Sus scrofa: one gene and its partners. The protein of the gene in region 3 interacts with the protein of the main gene of each other region in a pairwise test. Links are inferred from orthologs where the notes say so. Each region holds a gene or a part of one and is shown on either strand. Other genes may lie near its edges. The genes, in order: RAB39B, DIEXF and RUFY1.

The links.
Region 1: the proteins of RUFY1 (region 3) and RAB39B interact in binary tests that used the Homo sapiens proteins (3 or more experiments, as listed by UniProt). The two-hybrid records come from large-scale screens. The link is inferred for Sus scrofa from reciprocal best matches to the Homo sapiens genes RUFY1 and RAB39B.
Region 2: the proteins of RUFY1 (region 3) and DIEXF interact in binary tests that used the Homo sapiens proteins (3 or more experiments, as listed by UniProt). The link is inferred for Sus scrofa from reciprocal best matches to the Homo sapiens genes RUFY1 and UTP25.

What each region holds. Positions count from the first base shown.
Region 1 is NC_010461.5:125,525,331-125,529,667, forward strand, and holds the start of RAB39B (ras-related protein Rab-39B), read right to left. Parts: upstream 2,924-4,337; 5' UTR 1,847-2,923; coding exon 1,632-1,846; intron 1-1,631. UniProt on the Homo sapiens protein: The small GTPases Rab are key regulators of intracellular membrane trafficking, from the formation of transport vesicles to their fusion with membranes.
Region 2 is NC_010451.4:133,138,447-133,142,658, forward strand, and holds the start of DIEXF (digestive organ expansion factor homolog), read right to left. Parts: upstream 2,813-4,212; 5' UTR 2,704-2,812; coding exon 2,597-2,703; intron 1,827-2,596; coding exon 1,787-1,826; intron 1,105-1,786; coding exon 849-1,104; intron 1-848. UniProt on the Homo sapiens protein: Component of the ribosomal small subunit processome for the biogenesis of ribosomes, functions in pre-ribosomal RNA (pre-rRNA) processing. Essential for embryonic development in part through the regulation of p53 pathway.
Region 3 is NC_010444.4:79,014,992-79,018,639, forward strand, and holds part of RUFY1 (RUN and FYVE domain-containing protein 1), read right to left. Parts: intron 2,192-3,648; exon of another isoform or gene 1,557-2,191; intron 1,378-1,556; coding exon 1,204-1,377; intron 1-1,203. UniProt on the Homo sapiens protein: Activating adapter involved in cargo sorting from early/recycling endosomes. Regulates retrieval of proteins from endosomes to the trans-Golgi network through interaction with the dynein-dynactin complex.

The DNA of each region.
Region 1 (4,337 bases), on a different chromosome or scaffold from region 3:
GATAGCTTAAGGGTTAGGGCAGAACAAACACTGTCCAAGGAATTAAAGCCCAAGCTAACAAACCACACGAATGAGTTCAAGTCTCCAGAACCAGGCAAATCAGCCCTGGAAACTGAAAGCATTCCTAATTCCCTTATGTTTGAAGATTCATGGAGAATTGTAGGGGTAGCAGAAAATTCGACATGGACAAATACTTGGATTCATGAACAGCTTGGTTTAAGAAATCACTAAGCAAGCTGTGGTCAAAACTCGAAATACATGATTAAGGTTTTGTGAATATTTAGAAAGTTGCCAAGCCCTTTGTAAGTACAACATAAGGCTACATAAATTAAAGCCTTCCATACATAAAAATTGTCCTAAACAAACTTAAAGGACAAATGCAAAACTGGGGAAATATTTTACAATATCCGTGACAGAAAAGGATTACTGTTCTTAATATATGAATAAATGTTGGAAATATCACCCAATAAATCATAATCAGTGGCTATGAAAAGCCTGTCCATACAGAAAGAAATTCCAACAAACAGGAAAGATACCGTTCTTCACTTGGAGTATGAGAAATGCAGTCACAAGTTCAAAGGGAACATGTACGAGGCTGTCTGCGCAGGTGGGGAGGTGGAGACAACTCAAGTTTGAAATTTGCTTTTCTCCCAAGTCCCTCGTCAACCGCCTACCCAGCATCTTCTATGCTCAGTTAGTGTTCAGTAGGTAAGTGAAGGAATGATCCCAAACATGAGCTATTGCATCCTCTTGATCTAGTTCCTGTTGCTCTACCTGGCTTTGGCTCAAAGTTTTCTGTGTGCCCCGCTCTCTCGCGCACCTGTCTTTGCTTTGGTAATCTTACTCATCAGGCCCCATCTTCTCCGTTAGCCTACCCTCATCTGTGTTCACACGTATGATCACAAAGGACATAATACCACAAAGGGAAGCAAAGGATTGTTAAGAGAAAATTAAACCTGCTCGTTGATTTTTCAATATGTGCTAAGTGTTACGGAGGCAGCGGGCACACACATATGAACGGGGCACTCATTTTGTGTAATTGCTGATCTGCTCCCCGCCCCATGCTAGCACAGAAGTTCCAAGAGGGAACTGTCTGTGCCTGTTTGTTTACATGGCATCATCCCCTTGCATGAGTTTCCTCAGGCTGTTTCCCCAGAAACAAGTGCACTGTCTGGCATATAGTGGCTGATCATTGAATGCGTGCTGCTTGCAAGAAGGACTGGACCATCAGTATCTGTGTGTGTCTATATTTATATCTAGCTCTCTTTATCTCTATGTCTGTCAGTTATGTTAGGATGACCTGGGAACATTTCTGAAATGTAGCCCGGGGATGGAAACTGATGAACTGCAGAGATTGCCTCCAGCTAGTTTATTAGTCATCCAGGGGCAGCTTGGTGGAGTTTGGGTGTACTATTGACTGGCCTTCTCTGCTACGGCACATCTTTCCCTGCGCTGAACTCCCAGCTAGCTGAAGGTGGGCTTGAGCAGAAACCCTCAGACCCCGGGGTTTTGTCCCTTAGGGCACCCATCCTCCGCCCCCGGACCAAGACCAGGAAGTCCTCTTTCCTCCAGGTCTCTGTGCAAGCCCCAAAGACCCTCCCACTGCTCGAGGGCCCAGGCTGCGCTCCCACCTGAACCTCTCTTGACCCGCAGTATCCCAGATCTGGAGCTTGATGCGTTTTCCTGGCTCGATCTCCACCAGACGGGAGAAAAAATCCACCCCCACTGTAGGGTCTGAAACCTGGGCAAAGCGGCCCTCGGTGAAGCGGCGGATCAGGCAGGACTTGCCCACCGTGGAATCCCCGATGACAATGAGCCGGAACTGGTACAGCCAGATGGCCTCCATGGCTGGGCTCGGCAGGTCTCCGTGCCCCGGGCCGTGCGCGGCGAGACGGGGCGCCCGGCCGAGGCCTCGGAGAGTGCGGCTGGGTCCTGATCTAGATCGGCCGCGAGCGCATCGTTGGCCTGGAAGCCTGAGGCGAGGTAGGCCCAGGAGCAGAGAGAGCAGAGGGATGGATGCTGCGCTCGCAGAGGTGATGAAATGGCAGCAGCATCAGCACCACGCACTCTGACTCATCACTGACAACAGGGCTACTGTAATTCTCCATGTAGAGGCGACTCCAAGGGCCGCACTGTCTGTAAGAGGAGCGCACACAGAAATGGCCTCGAAAACAGCTCAGTCCTTTCCTTTCGCGTTCCTCCACTCATCCTTTCTTTTTAAATTAGAAGTATTCTCTGTCTTTCAAATTGCAAAAGTTAATAAGCCTTCATTAACACTAACGAAACAATACAACAATATACACAAAAACGAAAGTCTATAATTATCTGCTGCCTACCTCCCCAAAGATATTAACCGTTTGGTATATATTCTTCCACGTGTATTTCTATGAAAAGATACATACATATATACATTTACTGCTGTTTGATTTTACAAAAATTGTGTCACATCGGATCATTACTTTGACACTTGCTTTTTGCAATCGATAGAGCATCACAGACATTTTTCCCGTTCCCTTTTCCTTTTGCTGCAATTATCTCTCAAGTGTAGTCACATATATATTATCTCTATGACATGCAAGAAAGACCAGGAAGTCAAAGAGTATAAATATTTAAAATACTATAAATATGGGCATTATGCTTGGCAAAAATATTTAGCTAAATTTAAATTCTAGGCGGCAATGCGTGAAAAGACTATTTTTGGCATTATTTCAAGCATCATATGTGATACTCTTTCATAATACTTGCCAGTCTGATGTAGTTAATGGGATCATTCAATGTGTGGACTTTCGTAACTGGCTTCTTTCCCTTAGCGTGTTTTAGAGGTTCATCCACATCTCCTAACATGTATCAGGACTTCATTCCTCTTTATTTATTTTTATCTTTTTAGGGTCACACCCTCGGCATATGGAGGTTCCCAGGCTAGGGGTCAAGTCTGAGCTGCAGCTGCTGGCCTGTGCCACAGTTCACGGCAACGCCGGATCCTTAACCCACTGAGCGAGGCCTGGGATCAAACCTGCATCCTCATGGATGCTGTTCAGATTCATTTCTTCTGAGCCACAGTGGGAACCCCGCATTCCTTTTTATGACTGAATAATTTTCCCTTGTGTGACATACTACGTTTTGTTTATCCATTTTTCTATCGATGGACGATTGGATTGTTTCTGCCTTTTGGCTATTGTGAAGATTCTTGGACAAGTTTTTGTTTGAATTCATGCTTTGCACTTTTTCAGGTTTAAACCTAAGAGCGGCATTCCTGTGTCCTGGGGTAGCTCTATGTTAAGTCCCTTGAAGAAATGCCAGACTGTTTTCCACGGAGGCTGCGCCAGGGAAGACGTGTGTTCCCCGTCTTCTCCCAACGCTTGTTATTTTCTAACTTTTTGGTTCTAGACATCTTAGTGGGTATGAAGTGATAGCTGATTGTGGTTTTGATTCACATTTCCCTGAAGACTAGTGAATGTGCATGTTTTCACATTCTTATTGGCCATTTACATATCTTCCTTGGAGAAAGGTACACTCTGACCCTCTGCCCATTTTTATTTATTGATTTATTTATTTTAACTTTTTTCTTTTTTGGCCGGCCCGAGGCATATGGAGTTCCCAAGCCCGGGATCAGACGCCAGCCTAGTTTCAATCTAAGTTGCAGCGGCAGCGAGGCGGGACCCTTGACCCACTGTGCCCGGCAGGGGATGGATCTTTTGTCCCAGTGCTTTCAAGACGCTGCAGATCCCATTGTGCCACAGTGCCTATTTTTAAACTGGATTATTTATCTTTTTATTATTGACTTGTAAGAATTCTTTACACATTGTAGGTATAAGTCCCTTCTCAGATACGTGATTTGTAAATATTTTCTCCCATTCTCTGTGTCCTTTTTGAACTTTCTTAAGGGTGTTCTTTGAAGCACAAAGTTTTCAATGTTGATGAAGTAAAGATTATCTATTTTTTTCTTTTGTTACTTGTGCTTCTGGTGTCATGTGTAAGAATATTTTGCCAGATTCAAGTTTGTGAAGATTTACTCCTCTGCATTCTTCTAAGAGCTTTGTAGTTTTAGCTCATACACTTAATCTGTGATCCATTTTATGTTAATTTTTATATATGCTGTGAGGTAGAGGTCCAGCTGCATTCTTTTGCATGTGGATACCTAGTTGTCTAATCACTATTCGTTGGAAAGACGATTCTTTTCCCATTGATGATTTTGGCACCCTTGTTGAAAATCAGTTTACCATAGACTGGTTTATTTCTGGACTTTCAATTTCATTCCTTTGGACTATGTCAGGTCTTATGCCAGTACCACATTGTCTTGATTATTTGGAGTAAGTTTAAAAATCCGGAAGTATGAA
Region 2 (4,212 bases), on a different chromosome or scaffold from region 3:
CAGGAATCACATTGGATGAGAAGCCAAGAAGCCAGATACAAAAGAGTGCTTCCTGTATACTTCCATTCATATGAATTAGACAGAACAGGCAAAACTCATCGACAGTGAAAAAAGCAGGTCAGTGCTTGCCTGACGCCAGGCCTGGGAAACCGGCTGTAAAAGCACCAGAAGAGATTTCTGTAGGTGTTGGAAAGGTTCTTCATTTTGTCCTGGTGCTGGTAATATATACACATTTGTCAAAACTCATCAAATTACATACTTGAGATGGTCACACTTTACTGTATGCAAATCACACCTCAATAAAGTTGATCTAAAGGTGAAAAGTCACTTAAAAGTCTGGGTGTGACATGGTCCTTTAAGCTTTTCAGTCCCAGTGCTTCCCTGGGGTCTTCCCTCAGGTATCCCATCAGCATGGTGGGACCACTTCATGTCCCTTCAACACCTTAGACCTAGCCATTCCATTCGAATCTGCTGCTTAAAAAGTTTTGTATATTGTATCGCTCTTACCGTAAACTTGGTTTCCCTATGGGAGGAACAATAATCTCTTTAAAAAATTTGAGACCATCACAAAAACAGAATTATGTTCTCTTTCCTCTCAATCAGGGGAACTTGAACTAGGATTGATGAAGTCCTGGAAATCATAAGCAAAAATGTCATTTCTGCATTTTTCTGGCCAGAGAGCCCTAGGTTTTCATCAGAGTCTCAAAGGTATCACCGAGCCCAGCAGGGTTAAGAATCTCTGCTTTGGGTCCGTGTGTTTTCACCCGGCTCACGCAGGACAGGGTGCCGCGCCCACGGGGCCAGCTGTCTGTGGTCCTGGCAAAGAGGAGCCCAGCAAAGACACTCACTCTCGCGCGTGTCTGCAGACTCTGCTGCCAGGTCTTCCTCCGCACTCACGTCGCCATCACCTTCTTCAAGATCCATTTCTGCCTCATCTACAACACTGCCTTCTTCCTCCTCTTCTTCCTCTTCTTCCTCTTCCTCCTCCTCCTCCTCCTCCTTGGAAACACTCTTTAACGTAGCGAGAAGTCTGTGATAACCAGAAACTTGTTCTGGTTCACTCTCCGCTTCACTTTCAGAACTCGAAGAATCTGAACTCTCTGACTAAAAGGAAAATGGGGATTTTAAAAACAAAATTCATATTGTTCTCGTTGCTACTCCATGACGACCATCAGGCCCACAGTGCAAGAGGCTGAGACTTTTCTAAATAAAAATTAGCTTCTCTGCAAATATGCAATCTTATCTATTCAACCAAGCCTAGCACCAAATTTATTTGATAGCTAATCTAGCTATGATTCTAGAAGCTCTTCATCTTCTTTGAATTGCTAATCTTGCACAAGGAGAAAGTCTAAAAACAGAGCTTAGGTTGTCTGTATTAACCTATGTGTCAGATATTTGGCACATTTAAAGGAGCAAGAGGAAAAATTGCAACAAAAAATGCAGTAGTTTTTTTCTGCATTTGTGGTAATAAGACCTTTGATGACTTCGCACGCTATTGTATGTTAAGCAAACAAGGCATTCCCCTCTTAAGACTCACCAAGAGCCCTCTGCTTAACAGGTCCTAACAAGCTAATCTCTCACGACAACGTCAAACTTTGGGTACTGTATTAGTTATCACAATGGCATTTTAACCAACATCTGCATTCAAAGCTAAGCAACATTACCAAAATAAAAGCTTACATCTAAAATCGAAAAGAACGCAAGTGCAGGCAAACTGTACTATTATATAGAACCTTAAAAGTAACAACCCAGAATCAGTTATCATAAAGAAGGCATAAAGCATTACCAGGTGACAAATCTGTGGTTTTGCTTCCTTTCTGGAAACCCTGAGAAGAAATAGGCAATGTTAAACTCTTAACTACTAGTATTCGGCAATTAATAAAAATGTCTAAAGATAGGACTTTAAGTGAACATGGCAGACATTATAAACACATCATAACTACAGTCACGTAAAAACTCCGTAGGTACTGGGACGAGGATTGTACGAATGTGCCAAATAGAAAATAATCGATAAAAAAAAAAAAGTTTAACAAGGTCACATGACAAATAGCAGTCACACAATACCTGGCTCTCATCCAAAAAATGGGAAAACTGTCAAATAAAAGTCTTCGGGGTTCACCACTTCCAGCAAGTCCCTCTAATTGTTGATAAAGCGGCCTAAAGTGGTGGGATGAGCACTAAAGTAGGATCATAACTGAGAGTCTGGACACTTACAGAGGAACCCACAACTACCGAGACATCAGTTCCGTCACTGTCATTGAATTGATCGGTGATGTCGAAGGTCCCACGTGTGGGACCAATCCTTGGAAAGCACGCACACACACAAATTCAGAAAACCAGCCCCATAAGGAGGCGTGCGGTCTAGCATAGAGTTATCAGCTCAAAGTTAGACCCGTGAAGAACCGCATCTCAGGCGGAAGCCGCCAGTCTTCCCAGCCGACCAAGGCCGGCGCGGGGCGCGCAGGAAGCGGCGGGAGCTGCCCCGTCCCCGTCCCCGTCCCCGTCCCGGGGACCCGCGGACCGAGCGCCGAAAAGCACGCGGGCTCCCAGCGGGAGAAGACGCCGGCTGCCCTGGCCCCAGCCGCGCCCCTCCCACCTGTCGTAGAAGGGATGCTCCTCGCCGAAATCGCGGAGATGCTTCTTCTGCTTCTTAGTCAGAGTGTTGATCAGCTGGCTCTGGCTCCGGCTCCCGCGTTTGCCCATGGCGATCACAACTTCGCCCCCTTCCAAGGGGCCCGCTTTTCACCTGGAAGTAATCTCGCCAACCGACCCACGCGGGCTCGCCGGCAGCGCTTTACGGCAGAAGCAGCGTGCCATAAAGCAGGCCCGCTTTACGTCGCGCTTGTACGACAGGCGTTAAAACTTCCTGGTTTCCATTCCGCCCCCTGGCGACGCTCTTTGGAAGCACATGTACGCACGCCCATTTTTTCTCTGAGCCCCAGAAGGAAGGCGGACAGGCTTCGGCTTCCCCAGGTGGGTACAAAGGTGCGTGGTACTTTGCTCGTCACTTTCGGTTGTGAGAATCGGCCTGCGTAAACGTGTAGTAGTGGAGGTGGTTGAATGCAGTGCCTTTATATTATGCCACAATAAAAACGCAACCAGCCTTTAAGGGTGCGGGAGCATCTCAAGACTCCTCACAGCAGTTGACAAATAGGTCTTGTTCAAAAGCCTGCTATTTTAAATGAGAAAAGGGATGCTTAGAAAGGGTTACGTGCACACGAGCGAAAGAGGAGCTGGAAACCCAAGTCTGCTGCGACCACAGGTTTTTTCCCCTAGGATGTGCCACAGGTGTGGGGAGGCAAGGCTGAGATTCGCACCCTTGCCCTTCCCCTTCCCCTCATTTTACTGAAGTATTGCAGGATCCCCGGTAACTCATCTATTCCGACATTTTTCATGGTACTAGAGCAGAACTCCATCCGGAGAGGTAAAGTGATTTCCTAAGTCACCCAGAGAGACGGTGTTAGAGAAAGCAGTAAAGCCCAATCAGGTGTCCCAAGACCGAACTCGAAGCCGGACGGAGCACTTTCAAAGGGGAAGTAACTGGAGCTTCCACTGTGGCCCCGCGGATTAAGGACCTAACATGGTCTCCGTGAGGATGCAGGTTTGATCGCTGGCTTCCTTCAGTGGGTTAAACATTTGCCATGTAGTTCACAGGTGCAGCTCTGATCCGGTGTGGCTGTGGTGTAGGCTGGCAGTTACAGCTCTAATTTGACCCCTAGCCTGGGAACTTCCATGGCAGGTGCAGCCCTTAAAAAGAAAAAGAAAGGGCAGGGGTGGGGTGGGGGGTAGTAACTGTTCTATATCTTGATCATGGTGATAGTTACACCTTGTATAATTAAGAAAACAGTACGTTTGAAATTGGTACATTTTGGCTGTGGCTAGGCCAGCGGCTGCAGCTCCGCCTAGCCTGGGAACGTCCATATGCTGCAGGTTTGGGCCTAAAAAGCAAAATAAAATAAAATAATAAAATAAAACAGGTACATTTTAATGTAAGCAAATAATAACCTCAAGAAACAAAGAGAAAAAACAAACACCAACTGGACTTAACACTCCAGAAAGGTGTGTGCTCCTTAAAGACCGCAGTATCCACACAGAGAGACACTATTCCTGAGAGTAACTTACAGTGTCATGTCCTGTAAAAACAAAGTGCTTCTTCATAGACTGCAGAATTCACTTTAATGTTTAAGGTAGAACAAGAGCTTTCAAAGATAG
Region 3 (3,648 bases):
TCACTATGCCTTCTCCCAAGTATTTATTATCCATGAAATAAAATACCAGCTCAAATGATGACCTGTGAAATCCTTCCCGTTTCTCTCTCCTACCTGATGCCAAAATCAAGGCTTGATTTCAATCATCACCATTTTTCATCTGAACTGCTGTAATAACCTCCTAATGGGGGTCCCTGCTCTTAATATTGTCACCTCTCCACCTTTGCAATCTGTTCTCCACATAGGTCAAGGTTAAAAAAAAAAAAAAAACTAAAAGAAGACAACCCCGCCCCCCAAAAAAAACACCCTAAGTCAGATCTTGTTTTTTCCTTGCTGAAAATCCTTCCAATACCCTTGGAATAATATCCGACTCCTCACCTGACCTATAAAAACCTATGTGATCCAGCCCACCCCAACTTCCCTGACTTACCTCCCCTCCTCCTTCTCAGCCCACTTTAGTCACCTGGTGTCTTCTGCAAAGCAAGTTTAGTCCCTCTCAGGTACTTGTGCCTGTTTTGTTTTGTTTTGTTTTTCTAGAAAGGCTCTTGCCCCAAATCTTTTGCATGACTGACTCCTTTCTCACATTTCTCAATGAGTCTCAAACACAGTGAGTCTCAGCTCACATTTCCCCCCAGGAAGACTTTCCTCTCTCGCTCTAGCCGAAAGGTTTTTCCCTTGATTTCCTATCATTTGACCCATTTTGCTTCCGTGAATTGGTAGCACTCTGTAATTATGTTTGCTTCCGAATTTATTGTCTGTCTCCTCTTCTAGAACTGTGCTGTCCAAGGCAGTTACTAGCCACAAGCGCCACTGAGAACCTCAACTGCAGCCAGTGCAATGGAGAGGTGCTGTAAGTGTAGAACACATGGTGGATTTTAAGCCTTAGTATGGAAAAGAATGTAATTTCTCATTAGTAAGGTGTATGCTGATTATGTGTCAAAATGATAATATTTTGTCTATATTGGGTTCAATAACATGTGTTATTAAAACTAATTTCATCTGTTTTCGCCCTTTTTTTTTAAACGTGGCTACTAGAACATTAGACATCGCATATGCGGCTTGCATGGCATTTCATTTGGACAGCGCTGCTCTAGAATGTCCCCTCTTGTTTTGTGCGCTGCTGTCATCCCAGCACCCAAAACAATGTTTGGCTTTGATGAATACACACTGAGCAAACAGCTAGCCCGAATTTCCACGCCCCCCAAACGCCCCCCTAAGGCTCACCTTTCAGCCCATGTTTGAGGCAGTGCTCCATCACTACAAAGAACTGCTGCAAAGGGGCATGGTCGGCATCCAGGCTGCGGCCCAGGCTCAGGGCAGACTGGAGCAAGACCTTGATGCTGAGTTTCATCATGTGCATCAGGTTGGCACGCTCCTCCATCATCTGGCTCTTGGAAGCTGTAGGGCAAGAAGCAGGGACAGCTTCGTTAGTGGTCTGAGTGTTGTTCCGGCGAGGAAGGTACATGCGGGACAATGAAGGGAAGACAGTCCAGGCGGTCTGCTCCAAGCGCGGGATGTGCGGATTAACTGGGGTTAGCAGCCAGCCGGTCTCTGACCCAGGGAGGTCAAAGCCGCACCTTGGTAGCTAGGACTGTGGGTCAGACTCCAGAGGCCTCTCCCAGGTAGCTCCGCGTGTTGCTACGGCGACGGCCCTTACCAAGATTCTCCGCGATTGGTCTCTCCCACGCACAATTCCCACCAATGAAAAGGCTGAAACTCTAGGAAGCCCTGCCCCAAGCCGGAAGGCGTGCCGGGAAAGCGCTCCACCCACTCTCATTCCTGTTGGGGGCATTCAGCTCACGCCCTCAGAGTTTGCGGGCGCCATGTTTACTCCTCTGTTCCGGGACAGTGGGTGGCAGTTTTCGGGATGGGTCGGGTTAGTCTGCACACCGTCGGGACGGCTTAGTGGGTCAGCCCTTTCGTCCGACTGTGATAGTCGGTGTCTTCGGGGAAGCCTACGCCCCTTAGTTCCAGACTCAGCTTCTCGTTGCCCATCTTTCGTCCACAATTAGTGGATAATTACGAGTTCTACACACGTTTTGTAAATGAAACCGTTGGCATTAAATGAACTCTGCTGCTTTCCCATTTCAACTCCATCAATCGTCGCTTTGAGAGTAAAAAAGTCTGCAATCAATACAAATACTCATAGCAAATGCTTACGAAGTGTCCTCTCAAGCCCTGGAAATTGCCACTCTATAATTTAAAAATGTAGACCATAAACCTTAACAGTCCTGGCAGGAAAAACAAGACCCGGCCCGGCGCGCACCTCTCCGCAGCCGCTAGCTCATTCAGTCTTTTAAATGTTTGCTACTTGGGATTGGGGTGGGGTGGGGGTGGGGTAAGGATAATGTTTTAGTTTGTAGTTATTACAGCTGTCAAGCAGCTTTTCACGTTCAGAGTCTTCTAGCATTTCTTCTGCGAATTTTAAGTGCTTTTATACTGTGCAAGATAGGAAAAAAAAATGCAACTATGAGCCATAGACATCTTAGAGGGTTGCAAATTTGTTGTAACCTTTGGTATAGACAATTGGTATTCAGGTCAGGGAGTGAGTTTTTTTCTTTTATTATTTGTAGGGCCGCACCGGTGCCACATAGAGGTTCCCAGGGTAGGGGTCCGATCAGAGCTGTAGCCACTAGTGTATGCCATAGCCGCAGCAATGTCAGATCCGAGCCAACCCATTGGGCAAGGCCAGGGTTTGAACCTGCATCCTCATGGATACTAGTCAGATTCATTTCCACTAAGCCACAACGGGTACTCCAGGGAGTGAGTTCTATAGACTTTTTGTGTGTGTATGTGGCGGGGGGTTCTGGTTCTGAGTTATAGAGAAGTGACTGGATTTTTTATAAATTTGAGTTTGTTTTGAATAGCCCTTGGTGTCTCGAAAGATCTTATGATATAGTATTATTCTGTACTGACAAGAAAACCATCACTTTCCTAATTTTCAGGATTTTCCCTTATCTCAAAGGCTAACCTAAGGAGTTCAGCAATGTGAAATGAAAAAGTTATTTGTGTTTCATTTTGGAAGGAACTATATCATTTGTACAGGGGTGTTCTGATACATGAAAAATAAAATTTGCCATGAAAAACAATGGAGAAAGTCATAATACATACCACCTACTTAATAGCAAATATATATCTAAATAATTTTAAAATTAAAGAATGCCTTCTTCATGGATAAACAACAAGGTCCTGCTGTGTAGCACAAGGAATTACATTCAATATCCTGTGAAATACCATAATGGAAAAGAATATGAAAAAGAGTGTGTGTGTGTGTGTATATATAACTGAGTCAGTGCTCTATAGCAGAAATTAACACACCACTGTAAATCAACTAAACCTCAATAAAACAAATTTTAAAAAGGACTGCCTTCTTCAGTGACTTTTGTTATTCAACCTTGAGGAGGAGGAGGAATCAGTCTAAAAAGCACAATGTAGAACCTTGTGTGGGTGTATGTCCTGTGGTTTGTGTGAAAACTGTGAGGGTAGAGATGAAGGCACATACTACGTCATGCTATGTCGTGCACAGACACTCTGAAATACAGTAGGATTGAGGACAGTTTTAGGGAAGGAGCACTTACTCTACACTGAGTGTTCTTTTGTAAGGTTTGTTTTGTTTTACCATGTATTACCTTTAAAAAAATACCAAAAAGCCATAAAAAAATACCAAAA